2 linked regions of the Neodiprion lecontei genome follow. The protein of the gene in region 1 interacts with the protein of each later gene in a pairwise test. Links are inferred from orthologs where the notes say so. Each region holds a gene or a part of one and is shown in the gene's direction. Other genes may lie near its edges. The genes, in order: serine/threonine-protein phosphatase 4 catalytic subunit and immunoglobulin-binding protein 1b.

The links.
Region 2: the proteins of serine/threonine-protein phosphatase 4 catalytic subunit (region 1) and immunoglobulin-binding protein 1b interact in binary tests that used the Caenorhabditis elegans proteins (3 or more experiments, as listed by UniProt). The link is inferred for Neodiprion lecontei from reciprocal best matches to the Caenorhabditis elegans genes pph-4.1 and ppfr-4.

Annotation. Positions count from the first base shown.
Region 1 is NC_060261.1:25,917,855-25,926,056, reverse strand, and holds serine/threonine-protein phosphatase 4 catalytic subunit, read left to right. Parts: upstream 1-2,190; 5' UTR 2,191-2,341; intron 2,342-2,948; 5' UTR 2,949-2,974; coding exon 2,975-3,124; intron 3,125-3,970; coding exon 3,971-4,123; intron 4,124-4,322; coding exon 4,323-4,574; intron 4,575-5,323; coding exon 5,324-5,562; intron 5,563-5,992; coding exon 5,993-6,122; 3' UTR 6,123-7,776; downstream 7,777-8,202. UniProt on the Caenorhabditis elegans protein: Protein phosphatase which plays an essential role in meiosis and in early embryonic mitosis.
Region 2 is NC_060262.1:173,743-178,598, reverse strand, and holds immunoglobulin-binding protein 1b, read left to right. Parts: upstream 1-2,101; 5' UTR 2,102-2,222; intron 2,223-2,252; 5' UTR 2,253-2,266; coding exon 2,267-2,455; intron 2,456-2,552; coding exon 2,553-2,885; intron 2,886-2,954; coding exon 2,955-3,352; intron 3,353-3,454; coding exon 3,455-3,671; 3' UTR 3,672-4,217; downstream 4,218-4,856. Other genes in the region: uncharacterized protein LOC124293234, read left to right, coding at 1-32; single-pass membrane and coiled-coil domain-containing protein 4 homolog, read left to right, coding at 1,128-1,307; EF-hand calcium-binding domain-containing protein 1-like, read right to left, coding at 4,272-4,460, 4,553-4,663, 4,744-4,824. UniProt on the Caenorhabditis elegans protein: Probable regulatory subunit of serine/threonine-protein phosphatase PP4 which may play a role in meiosis and embryonic mitosis.

The DNA of each region.
Region 1 (8,202 bases):
TTTAAAAAAAAAAGATGGTTAAACCATGTGCGGTACCACGGTGTAAAAAATTATCGAAATTGGTTGACTAATAAAAACAACACCATTTCTTTAAACAACATACGTTTATTTCATTTATTACCTTCGTAGATTTATTATTCACACATACATATGATATTTATATCTTTTTTTCCTTAAAATGAACGAGATTGATATAGATAATTTGTTTACATTTTTTTCTAACATTTAAGTTATAGCCCCGCTTGGGGTTTAATCAAGCTTGGTGGTTTATTCGGTTAGGTCACCGCCTGAATTAATTCAAACGCAAGCGATACAAGAATTCCATAACTTGATAAGTAAATCATAAATTTCAATAATGACGGCTGAAAATAGGAAACGGAGATGATACTCTTTGCCTCTAGTCTCCATACATATATCATCCATAATAATTATATCATACTAATATTTATATTAACTACTTTCATTCATAACGATTCATTACTTGCAATAACAATAATAATATTATTGTTATTAGGTTGCATTGCGCACGCGTTGATTATCCATCCCTCGATCACAACGCCGACCTGGCGGCCACAAAGTGAGATAAATAACCGGCCGTGAAATCAACCACACCCACTACCTTCGTTGCCAGACCTGTATGTAAGACCGTGACTAAGGGCGTGTTCGGAAATTGACTAAAAGTACTGTCAGTATTGAAAATCGACAGTATACGTCACTTGGACTATACCATTTTCAGTACTGACAGTATTTTCAGTCAATTTCCGAACACGCCCTAAGTAGGCCTCTCCCTCACTAGCGCTAGCGGCGAAAATTCACAACATCGGCTTCGTTTTCGAGCACGGTTTTACAGCCGGAGTTCCCAGACCTGTCTATAAGACCGTGTTCACAAGAGAATAGTGTCGCAGTTCTCTTGTCAAATGAAATACTGTGTGCTGACTCCGTCGGTACTCTGATATGGAGACACGTATTGAACAGGCAACACGTCATACATGGTTGCAACAGCATTACCAACGAACCAGGGAGACTAGAGTGAAGGAATGGACACAGCATAGGAGAATAAGTAGTAACGGCGTCCTCAAAAACCCGTTCTTCAATTAGTTCTCCGCTCTGCCATTAGCATCACATAGGTCGAAAAGATCGTAAATATAGTAATAAAATTAGTCCACACCACGCTCTTACATACAGGTCCGCAAAACTAGTAGGGTGAGCTATGACTCAGATAATGAGGCAAAACCGTGGTTCTCGTCTTCGCCGTCTGCAGCGCTGCCCCCTCGGGGTGAGCCAATCATAAATCAGATCCGAACAGCCGATTTTTCGGAATCAACAATCCTGAATAACACTCAAAAATGAAGAAAGATGCGAATAAAAAATGATTGAGATGTTTACTAGCATTCCATGGCGGGCGTGATAATTGTTTTATTTTAACGGAATCCTCAAATGTTTAAGTCAATAAAATCCATAAACATCAAGCGAGGGCTCACAACTTTTGAGACAGTTTGAGATCTTGTGTAGATGATCCACCGTTTACACACTTTACACTGAGTTATGAACTGTCAAAAACTTCGATGAGCAGGTTATCTTATCGGTATATATCTATATCTATCATACCCCGGGCCAATGGCGCCCCTAGCGGATGGATAGAAAACAAGACCGTGTGCCTCACTAACGGTGACACCCCCTACCACTCAAAAGTGCCGGAGTTACCAGACCTGTACGTAAGACCGTGGCCCACACGATGAAAGTGACCGATCCGCGCTTGCGCAGTAGAATGAAAAGTGACGCACCTAAATGATAGTATATTAGAAGTTAAGGAGACTATTTCGAGAATTGTCAAAACTTTTTTTTCATAAATAACGGGACAAAATTGTCCTGAGCTTCTCTCGATTCATTACGCGAAAATGATAAATTACAGATTCCTAATGTTTCAGCTTATTTTTATTCAACGAAATTTGATACACCCATTTTAATAAACATAATAAATTAATTAACACTGCACATTAATAACAAAAAGCTTTACACATGTAAACATAAACACTGCACGAATTTTGCCACATTGAGGTTAGAAAATAAGTAGTAACAGTGTGTCTGATCTAAATATATATATATATGACTACGATCTTTTTGATCGCAGCGCCGCCGTTTTAGGCCGGGATTTCGTGTTCATTTCTGAAGCACGCTGTGTCCACTCCTTTACTCTAGTCTCCCTGCAACGAACGACGCGCGCACCACGCAATGCATTGTCGGAAATAAATGGAGACCGGCAGGAGATTACGGTGAGAAAAGCCAGCTTCTTCGAGTGATTAGAGTCTCGTCGAAAAATAATCCGTTCCTCATCTAGACGGTAAGGGAATTAGTATTTTACAGTCTGTCCATGAGCTGCATGCTTGGCACTTAGTGCTTTTATTTCTCCGTGTTTTGCTCCGATATTACACTAAACACGCAGGTTCTCGTATATCCATCGTAATTAGTAGATTTATAAACTATTTTCACTTAGAAACTCAGTTTTTTTTAACGAAATGCTCTTACCGTATCTTGGCTGCTATTTCACTCGTACTGTGAAACATCCTTCTATTTCATTATTTACCTAATCTTATTGCTGTTTCAAAAATCGCTCGATATCTTTACGCGACTTGTGTCCGTTCATATCTTCCTTGACTAACCTGCTTTTGCATTCGATGTAATCATAGTGCTTTACCTCAGGTCGTTTTCCGACCAAAAACCTCAATCTGCCTCACAATTTACCTAACCCAAACATATCTGCCTAAACTGGCCCGTCATGATTATTCAACAATTTAACTGAACTTGGAACACCGCGTTCAATATTTCAGGTTAGATTGCATCATTAGCTGCCTTTAGAGTATGCAAAGTTTGATCTTTTATAAACCAGAAATTTCAACAAAGTAAAAATGTCTATATAACATTTTATTTGTATTTTTATATGTTTACAGTTTAGGAGCAGTAAACTAACGGAGCAATGTCCGATTCCAGTGATTTGGATCGGCAAATTGAACAGCTGAAAAAATGCGAGATTATCAAAGAAGCCGAAGTTAAGGCTCTCTGTGCTAAAGCTAGGGAAATCCTGATCGAAGAAAGTAATGTGCAGCGAGTCGACTCACCCGTTACTGTAAGTTGGTCGTTGAACCCGTAAATGTGCCAATATTCGATTAATTCCAAAGTCACTATAAATGCGTGAAGTGTATCAGAAATCTGTTTGAAATTTCATTAATTTATTTTTTAAAGTGAAGACCACATTACTACAACAAGATTCTATTAGCCATACGATTCTCAAAATGTATTTCACCTAAATATTGATGGCAGAATTGAGAACACAATTGTAGGCTGCATATTGGTCCTCAAATTCTACACAGAACACTCAACGTTTCTTTTCTCTTCTGAGGAGTTAAGAACACTAATTTCACGGGTTCCCTTGCAGTAAATATAAAAATCCACTGTTTTCTCTTAAACCCAGCCAATATTAGCTGTTCGTTTGATGACTTAATTTTTTTCATTATACAATTGTTAACCTTTAAGGAAAAAATCGCCAGAAAATTCTAATATTTCATGAATTACAGTTACAAAATGGACATGTCATACACTTTGCAAGAGTTCGTAATTCCTATAATTGATATTAATCCTGATTTTCATAGAATTTGGCATGTACCTTCTTCTTATCATTTAAATTTTCCACATTTTGCAAAATTTTTTATCAATAGGCTGAAGAACATCAAAACGATTTTGCCTATTGAAAGTCAATCCTAGACTTTTCTGTAATTCCAACTCCTAAAAACCTATCGTTCTCCAGGATCTACTTCCCAGTCTAAAAATTGCTTCAAAAAAATGTCTCAGGCAGATTATTCACAAATTAACAAATTTTTTGTTGATGAATACAAAGTTTTACTTTTTCTTTTAATCTTTTGAATTGGTTAGCAATTCATTCCAACAAGATTAACCATAAATTTATATTTTTTAGGTTTGCGGTGATATACACGGACAATTTTATGATCTAAAAGAGTTGTTCAAAGTGGGTGGCGATGTTCCTGAAACGAACTACCTTTTCATGGGCGATTTTGTTGACAGGGGATTTTACAGTGTTGAAACATTCTTGCTTCTTCTTGCTTTAAAAGTACGATGGTATTCTTACAAGAAACTTCAGCTATATTGATTACACACTATACATTAAAAACTACTAAAAATAAGTATTAAATAAATGATATAATAAATATGTTAAGCGAAATATCAGAGTTAAAAATTTAACGAAAGTTATCCAGTGTACACAATTATGACTCTTTTTATTTTCAAATCGTGAATAACAATGTTTGCAGGTTCGCTATCCCGACAGAATAACCCTGATCCGTGGTAATCATGAATCGAGACAGATAACGCAGGTTTATGGTTTCTATGACGAATGCTTGCGCAAGTATGGAAGCATAACAGTGTGGCGATACTGCACAGAGATATTTGATTACCTGTCCCTGTCGGCGATAATCGATGGAAAGATATTCTGCGTTCACGGTGGTCTTTCACCTAGTATTCAAACACTGGACCAAATTAGAACAATAGATAGGAAACAAGAGGTATGTTGTTTAATACGGATTATGCTTTATCTAAAAATTAGCGTCAATGCAAATTCGACAATTAAGAAAATATAAAAGTTAAGGAAGATGGTTAACCACAAATCTACTTTTTCATCAATTTTATTACAAAATAATTATTTATTGAGCATTTATCAAATTACTATATTCAGAGCTAAGAAGAGCTCTTTGAAAAAACGAGAATAGAAAATACTGCAATCACCTATAAAGTACAGGTTACATATTGATGGTTTATTTCAATTAATTTGAAAATGGTTGAAAATCTAGTAGCTTCATTCAATTTCATTCCACAAAAGCTCATTTTATTCGGAAGACCATTTTCTACAAAGTCACTGAAATAAATTTTCTTTTTTCCTCATGTCGTTAAATTAGATATTCACGGATTGCGTCAGGTGAAAAAAATGTTTTAGTTAATTTGTAGGAATTAGTCTCCTGAATAAAATGAGCCATCATCGAGTGAAATCGAGCGAATCTACTAAGTTTTTAACCGATTTTGAAGTAACTCGAAACAACGCATCGATATTTAAGCTTTTGTTTATCATGTCAGTATTTTCTACTTTTGTATTTTTGAAGAGATTTTCTCACCATATGTATATAATATCTGCATAAATACTCTGAATACAATTATTTTGCAATAAAATTGATGAAAAGTATTCATTTATGGCTGACCAACTACCTTGAGATTTTGTCACCACCACGAATTCAATTCAATTCGTTCACAATAATTTCAGGTACCACACGACGGTCCAATGTGTGATTTGCTCTGGTCAGATCCTGAGGATACGCAAGGATGGGGCGTTTCTCCTCGAGGCGCTGGATATTTGTTTGGTAGCGACGTTGTTGCACAGTTCAACTCTGCTAATGACATAGACATGATTTGTCGAGCCCATCAATTAGTCATGGAAGGGTACAAGTGGCATTTTAATGAAACAGTCCTTACGGTTTGGTCAGCGCCAAACTATTGCTACAGGTAATTTTTCTTCTTATATAATTAACCATTGAGTCACTGTAATACCCTTCTATACAATTTAACAACAGTATTCAATCAAGAGTATCAAAATATTGGGAATGCGTTTTAAAAATATTTTCTCAGAGATAAATCTTATATTTCATAGAAGCTTCTGATGACAGGTATTTAATTTTTGTTGTCTGATATCACCTTACCACTTCAAACCTTTGACCTTACAATCAGCTTCATAGTCTACTACTTTGAAAATATCTGAAACGTAGCGTAATGCCAAAAGACACATTTCAATCATTTTCCTGATTGTCGAGATTTTATCGACACAAAAGTGCAACAGTAATACCACACTGGACCCGATACTCTAATAGACAGACAGATGGAATTTTTTTATTTCAATACTGATCAATTTTAAATGTTGCATTCTTACTTCATACAGATGTGGTAACGTAGCAGCGATATTAGAACTGAATGAACACCTCCAAAGAGATTTTACCATATTTGAAGCAGCACCGCAAGAGAGTCGAGGAATTCCGAGCAAGAAGCCTCAAGCTGATTACTTTCTGTGAGATTGACTTATTTGGCAAGCAACGTGCTGCACTGCAGTTAAACCTCGACTCGGAGTCAGTTCGTATCTTTACGTTCGCTGAAATTGTACTAATTTTGAATGCATCGGCTTAGTACGATGACACGGTCAAAGTTTAATTGTAAACAGCATCTAAGTGGAAGAAAAATAGTCTTAATTAAACCAATATGAAGTAACGTATTTCCGAGCAGATTTACCAATCTTGCGATTTCTAGTTCACCATGTTATTCCGCATTGGATTTCACCGTTTTAAACAAATCTTGGCATTTGTTGTATCAAATTTGTCCTGTCCGTAAAGGGTTTTTCCATTTTGTAGCCAAAATGTCGTTAAATCTTGCGAAAGGAAACGATTATACGTTTGTTTTCGGATCAATGAGCCTTAGTGCTTAAGTCAAAAGTCAGTCGAAGAGAAAAACTCGTTCAAAAAATCTGCAATATTGTTTGCACCAATGATAGCAAACGCAAATAAAACAACATCCCTACTACGTAATAGAAATGATTATTAGCAAATTCGGATCACACACACTAAAGTCGTCAATAAGGTTGATGAAGTGAAAAGGTTGCATAAATATAGTGTTTCAATCAATTTACTCTGATGTTTTTCATCGAATTCTAATGTGTTTGTGCTCATCATACTAGCTGTCCAAAATTCCACAAATTGTGTGAAAAACATTCCAGAAATTTCACATTCTAGTATACACTTACAATACACAAATGTAACTGTTGACGAACATCTGTTATATCGTACTTATATAAAAATACTTTTATTCACTCTGAGGATTACTTGAAGTAACATTTTTTCTAGGTTATTTAGAAGTCTCTATAATGAACAAATAATGCCATAAACATTAGAATCGGATTAAAAAAAACTCAGTTTTATGTTTTTTAACGTTCTAAGTATAAAACTTTATCTTGAATTGTTGATATCTTAGCTTATGTTATTCGGTTTGTTCACATTGATTTCCATTACACAGATATTAATGGTCTTTCATACGCGTTTACCACAATTGGTGCACATAACATTGTTGGATATTTTTGAATGGTTTCTTATCTTCTGCGAACGTTTAATGCAGTCTCTACGGCCCATTCATCTGCAAAAGCACATGTGCTTGTGAAGTTATTGTGAGTTTACAATTTACAGCGAGGGATGCTTTTGGCCCAAAATCTATGATTCAATGTCCATTGTTATAGGACTTGATATTGAATAATAAATGCATTATATTAAGAATATCTACGTGAAAATATATTGATTGTGAATTCGATCAGACAGGATCATGCTGTATCTAAATTTGAAGCATTTAAATGGAATGTTAATGTGATTTTAAACTTTCACTCTCCGCATTACACCCAATTTACGTAATCGGTCACAAAGTTTGTACAAATCCAATATATTCCGGAAGGTCTGTTCAAATGGGTGATTTTAAAATTGCGTTACATACATACATACATAAATACATACTTTTCGAATAACAGTCGTTATGAGATCAATGAACCAAACTTGAAAGTCTGCTTAGCGATAAAATTGATTGTAATGTCAATTCCCCAGTCACATGTCAACTGATATTTCTTTTCAATATTGACTTATCCGTCATTGTAATAATACGCCTACCACTTCATTTAATAAACAGTAAAAGTAATTATCACTTTTTACGTACTGTCAAAGGGTATATTATTATCTGATGCTTGCTAGAGCCTGTTTTTTAATTCGTAAAATAGAGCTAATCGCGTTCTAGGTAGTAACTATTTTTTACCGACTATTGTAGACTTATTTTAAACTAGTTTGTACGTAACAGTGGTACAATAAAATTAAGGAATAATTTTTACAATTACTTGGTTCTTTTCGTTGTGGTCATAATCCTACGATTATTATTAATGCTATTATTAATAATGTAAATATACGGACATTTGTACGTCTTTTTCTGTGAAAGTTATAATCTAATATTATTCTTTTGAGAAAATTCTTCTCAAATACGAATGAAAAAATTTGGACGAGGGATAAAAAAAAACTTGTCCAAAGATAAAGTGAAAATAAAATCATAATTGTTGTTTTCAATTATACAATG
Region 2 (4,856 bases), on another chromosome or scaffold:
GCCTCGCAAAGTTCCTACGTCTTAAAATGTAGCTTTCATCGTATCCAATAAAAAGACTTGTCTTTTTTCTGCGTTTGAAATATATTTGTTCATTCTTTCTAAGCAATCCCCCAATAACAGTGGCTGCGTTCCTCATGTCCATGTTTTAAATGCCATCTCAGACCAGACACGACTTGAATTTTCATCATAGATTTCTTACGTTTTGATTTGATTCTGGAGCTGAACATGAATTATTATGTCGCTAGAATACACCTGGCGAAAATTTTAGCATGAACACACATTTCATTTAGTTATTTGCATGAAAAATCTTTATTTAAGAAAGACGATCGACGGGGAAGGTGATTGACTGGCAAATTGCAAAATTATTTTCTTGCAATTCTGCACCGTTTCGACTGAGCCCAGCCAGTCATCATCAGGCTGATTATCTATATGTTGGCCTGCGATCTTCGAATTTCTTGAAAATTTTGCCACCAACAAACTCCTCCCAAATTACTCATAAATTGCTCTCTATTTTTTATTATTTGTTTCGACACGATTTTCGAGAAAATCGAATGGTCCAAGATTCCAAGTTATTTCCAGAGAACTCGGTCGGTACGCAGCGTTTGTATTTTAAATTCAAACTCTCCATACTGGCTAAGAGATGGCGGCTAACACATCGAAAGTCGTAGAATCACTCGCTCCAGACTTCATTCAGTTAGCTGTCCTTAGTAACCTCTAATCAATGACCGTTAGCTTTCCATATGCCACCAGGAATTGTACATACGTGTGTGAATACCATACGTGTCAAATATCTGTCAGACACGTTGGATGCGTGCCGCGCTGGTTAGCTGACATATTTTGGACAATTCCAACTGATTATCGGTAAGAGAAGAGTAAATAAACTTTTTTCAAGTTGACGATTGTATAGACATGGAGTAATGGTCAATGTTAAGTACATGAGTATTAGTCGGTAACTAATTAGCTTGTACCAAAGTAAGGGAATATACCTTACCTTTCGTTACAATTAGCAGCATGGTGTAGAGTATTATTGAACAGTATGTTTGTTGAAAGTTTTACTAACTCCTGTTTAGTCTGTAATTGAACAGTAGACCTTTGTTATTTATTTTTCCATTTAATTACAGGTAGAAATGCGGCAACTAAAGGGAAAAACTAAAGAAACTAATAAGCAGAAGAAAGAGCGAAGGAAAGAATTCGTTGAAAACAAACAACGATTATTCACCATTGTTCTACCGACGTTTGCTGCAATATTTCTACTCATCGTTGTATATGTGTATCTGAAAACACGTCCAAAGCCCGTAGACTATTAAAATTATGATATCTACAGAATAATAACATTATCTAAAATAGCTCTAAGGATTTTTTAAAAGGAACATACAATTATAATCAATCTGCATCTTGTTACACGATATGCGGTGTAACGAATGAATACATTATTTACATAATTTCAGAACATGAACGTATTTGAATGCTGAAATATCGATAAATATCAGATGTTTGTAAAAGATGTTTTGTGGATTTTAATAACCTGCACGATAGTAATATAAAATTGAAATTCCAAGTCAACTACCTGGATCTTCTGTCTTTACATATTCTCGGCCTAAGCGGATATCGAATTGTGAAATGAAAAGAACCGTCGTCAGCACAGTATTTTACTATAAATTTTATACGTAAGGTTACAGGGTCCAATTTAAATTGTAAGCATGAAGATTTAAATACAAATAAATTATTTCCCTACGACTTGATTTATTAAAATTTTTAATGTATCAACTGAATCGGTTCTTTACAAAACGATTTTGTACCGAATCTTTGTTCGATTTCGTTCAACGGAGAATTGTAAAAAAAATCCGTTTACAAGGACATAAAACCTTATGTTAAAATGTTGTAACGTTCACGATGAGTGGAGAAATGATGGTATAAAAATATAATTCTATCTGGCCGATCCTTTCATAAATTATAAGAATGCGGAATGGAGAAATGATGACCATTTAAATTCAGAGACGAAAGCCGCGCGTGAGAAGAGAAGCGCGCATGCGGCAATTTAGCGGCAATTCCGTGTCGACTGACAAGTGGCGCGCTCCGTGCGGCAATTCGACGTAAAATTCTCGTCTAGTGATGCGAAATCTGCGAAATCATTAGATCTGATCGAAGGTTTAGCTGGAACGGGGTGTGGGTGAGATCGCACGGAATAGAGGCTAAACATTGTAAACAAACGTATGTATGCATGTACCATGGACCTAGTATACCTATGTACCTACTCATCTCTGATATGTATGTACAGCCGACTGCCCGAATAATGGATCCCAATAAGTCAAACGCTTCGAGGGAAAACCTGAAGCAATTACCTCATGGAGAAGAAAAAGATGCGGAAAGCTTGTCTCAGATTTACGACGAAGGATTTGCCCTGTTCAACAGCATAAATAAATCCCAGGAGGCAACAAATAGCCCCAAAATACAAGTAGGTTTTCCTACGCGGCGTTTCTCATAACCTACGCAGATGCGGTCTTAAATTTATTAATGTTTGTTATTGTTGTTTGTTTTGTTCGAAAAAAAAGTGTGAAGTTAGGAGGGCGATGAGCATGTTCGAAGATGCAACCAGATTGGTATCCATGACGGATATGTTTAGTGTCAATGAGAGTTTCGAAGAAGTGGCGACGGCAAATATCAAATACTTTCTGCTGCCAGCTCTGCTTGGAACTCTGACGCTAAAGATTTGTGGAACGAGCGACCGATTGCACATTGTTGACGTAGCGGAGATCTATTACAACGATTTTCTGAATAGGCTAAAGCATTATGGACTGATTGATTTTGTACTACCTGAGAAAAAGTCGAGCGAAGAAAATTCAGTGAGGAAACCAATGTCCAACGCCGAATTAATAACGTCCATGGTTTGTAATCAATGAGGAGTTTCTCAAGGGGCCTATTGTTTTGACTCGTCTAACCTTCCTGGTTTGTAGGTGTCGACAAGAAATACAAAACTGCAGAGGTTCAAGGAGCAGAAAGAGCTGGAAAGCAGACTGGAAACATTAACTGAGAACATGCGCAACCCAAATATAGATGAAGAATCGAAGAGAGAGTACTACGTTACGTTAATCAAGTCGTATGTGAACCAAGCGTTGGATGATTTAAGTTCAATAGCTTCGGAGAGGCCAATAATAGAGCACATGATTAAAGTTGGGCACAGTGATCCCTTGGCTGCTCAAAACCCAAGAAAATCAAAATTGCCTGGAGTTAAACTGAAGCCGATCATTATTACGAGAGATGAGCTACAAAAACAAGTTTATGGAGCTGGCTATCCAAGTCTACCCGTTCTGACTGTGCAAGAATTTTATGAAAAAAGAATCAGAGATGGCGAGTAAGTCGTCCAATATTAAAATAAATTGCTTCATTTTAGGAACGATAAAACCTAAGAACATCAATCTCAAGACTTGAATCTCACAATATTTGGTGCTTTCAGCTGGCCAGATCCGTCGCAGAGAAATCAAGTGAGTGGCAAGTGCCTACAGAATATTCCGCCCAACACGGATGAATTGAAGGAAGAAGATATTGAGGAGGAGCAAAAAGAAAACCAAGTCGAGAAAGACGATCCGCAGCTTCTTGCCCAAGCTCGTGCCATGGATGAATATAAAGATACTCATAGACGAGGTTGGGGGAACAGAAGCAACAGAAGCTAAATCCATAAAATATTCAGACTCTTATTTCATGCAAGGTGGTCCATCGGAATTGACTTTTCTATTTAGTACTGAACCATATATATGGAAAGAATTCCAACGGTACTAACTTGAGGTAAAAAAAATGGAGAACGTAATACCACGTCTTTATATGGGAAAAAGTTAATAATTGTCAGTTCTGTAAGGTAGATTCAATTTGAGCATTACATTTTGTATGTGGCTTATAATATTTTTCAATTTTTCACTGCTGGAACATTTGTTTTGACAATCACTGTTTTCAGGTACTTAATAGCTGAATTCTGGATGCTTTCAAGATATCTAACTTATTATCAGACTGTTGGAATCACGTATAATACTACTTGGATCGTACGGGATTTTTTTTCTTGTTCAAAATACGTACTAGTTGGAAGTTTGACACATGGAGAAATTAAAATGTTTCTAGGAGAAAAAATCGTGTTTCAGTAGCAGATCGTCTGAATCAATCATGATTTTTTATAACGTGTATCGATGTATGTACATTAAGAATATACCTTCTGATCTTTGATATTATATGTGTGGTGAAAATATTTGAAACATTACTGTTACTAGATTTGTTCTTGTTGCTTAGTATCGACCGGTTCGTGGAGTGAACGTTGTGAGAAAAGCGCATATTGACTCTCGCGAAGGAAACACAGGTCCCATGCATTGTAAGAAGAGAAGATTTTTCCCTCTTATCGTCGAATTATAATCTTCCTCCGATACTTTGCCGTCTCGATCGATATCAATTTTTTTCAGCAGCAGGTCTATCAAGTCCTAACATTAATAGAACAATGAGGCAAGATTGTAAATTTTTTCTGTCTCTAGTGTTAACTAGTATTGAATTTGAAGTATCGTTTAAAAATCACCTTCACTCCTTCGTCTGGATCGTCATCGGCTTGTTGCTTGATCAAACAGCCTCTCATCATCGGAAATATGGACTCTTTTCGTATCTTTTTCGTCCTCATGAAGTCGTAAACCTGACAGCCAAGCAAAACTGGTCTATTATGACAAGCGACGACTAAATAATATCTAATTACAGATTCATAATTAGATTCACCTTGTATCCAAATTTTATTTTCTCATCCAGCGATCCTCGCAAAACTTCTGAGAGTCCCAAATTCCACGAATCCATTGTGATCTGTATTTTGATTTCTTGCCATTAGGAATACA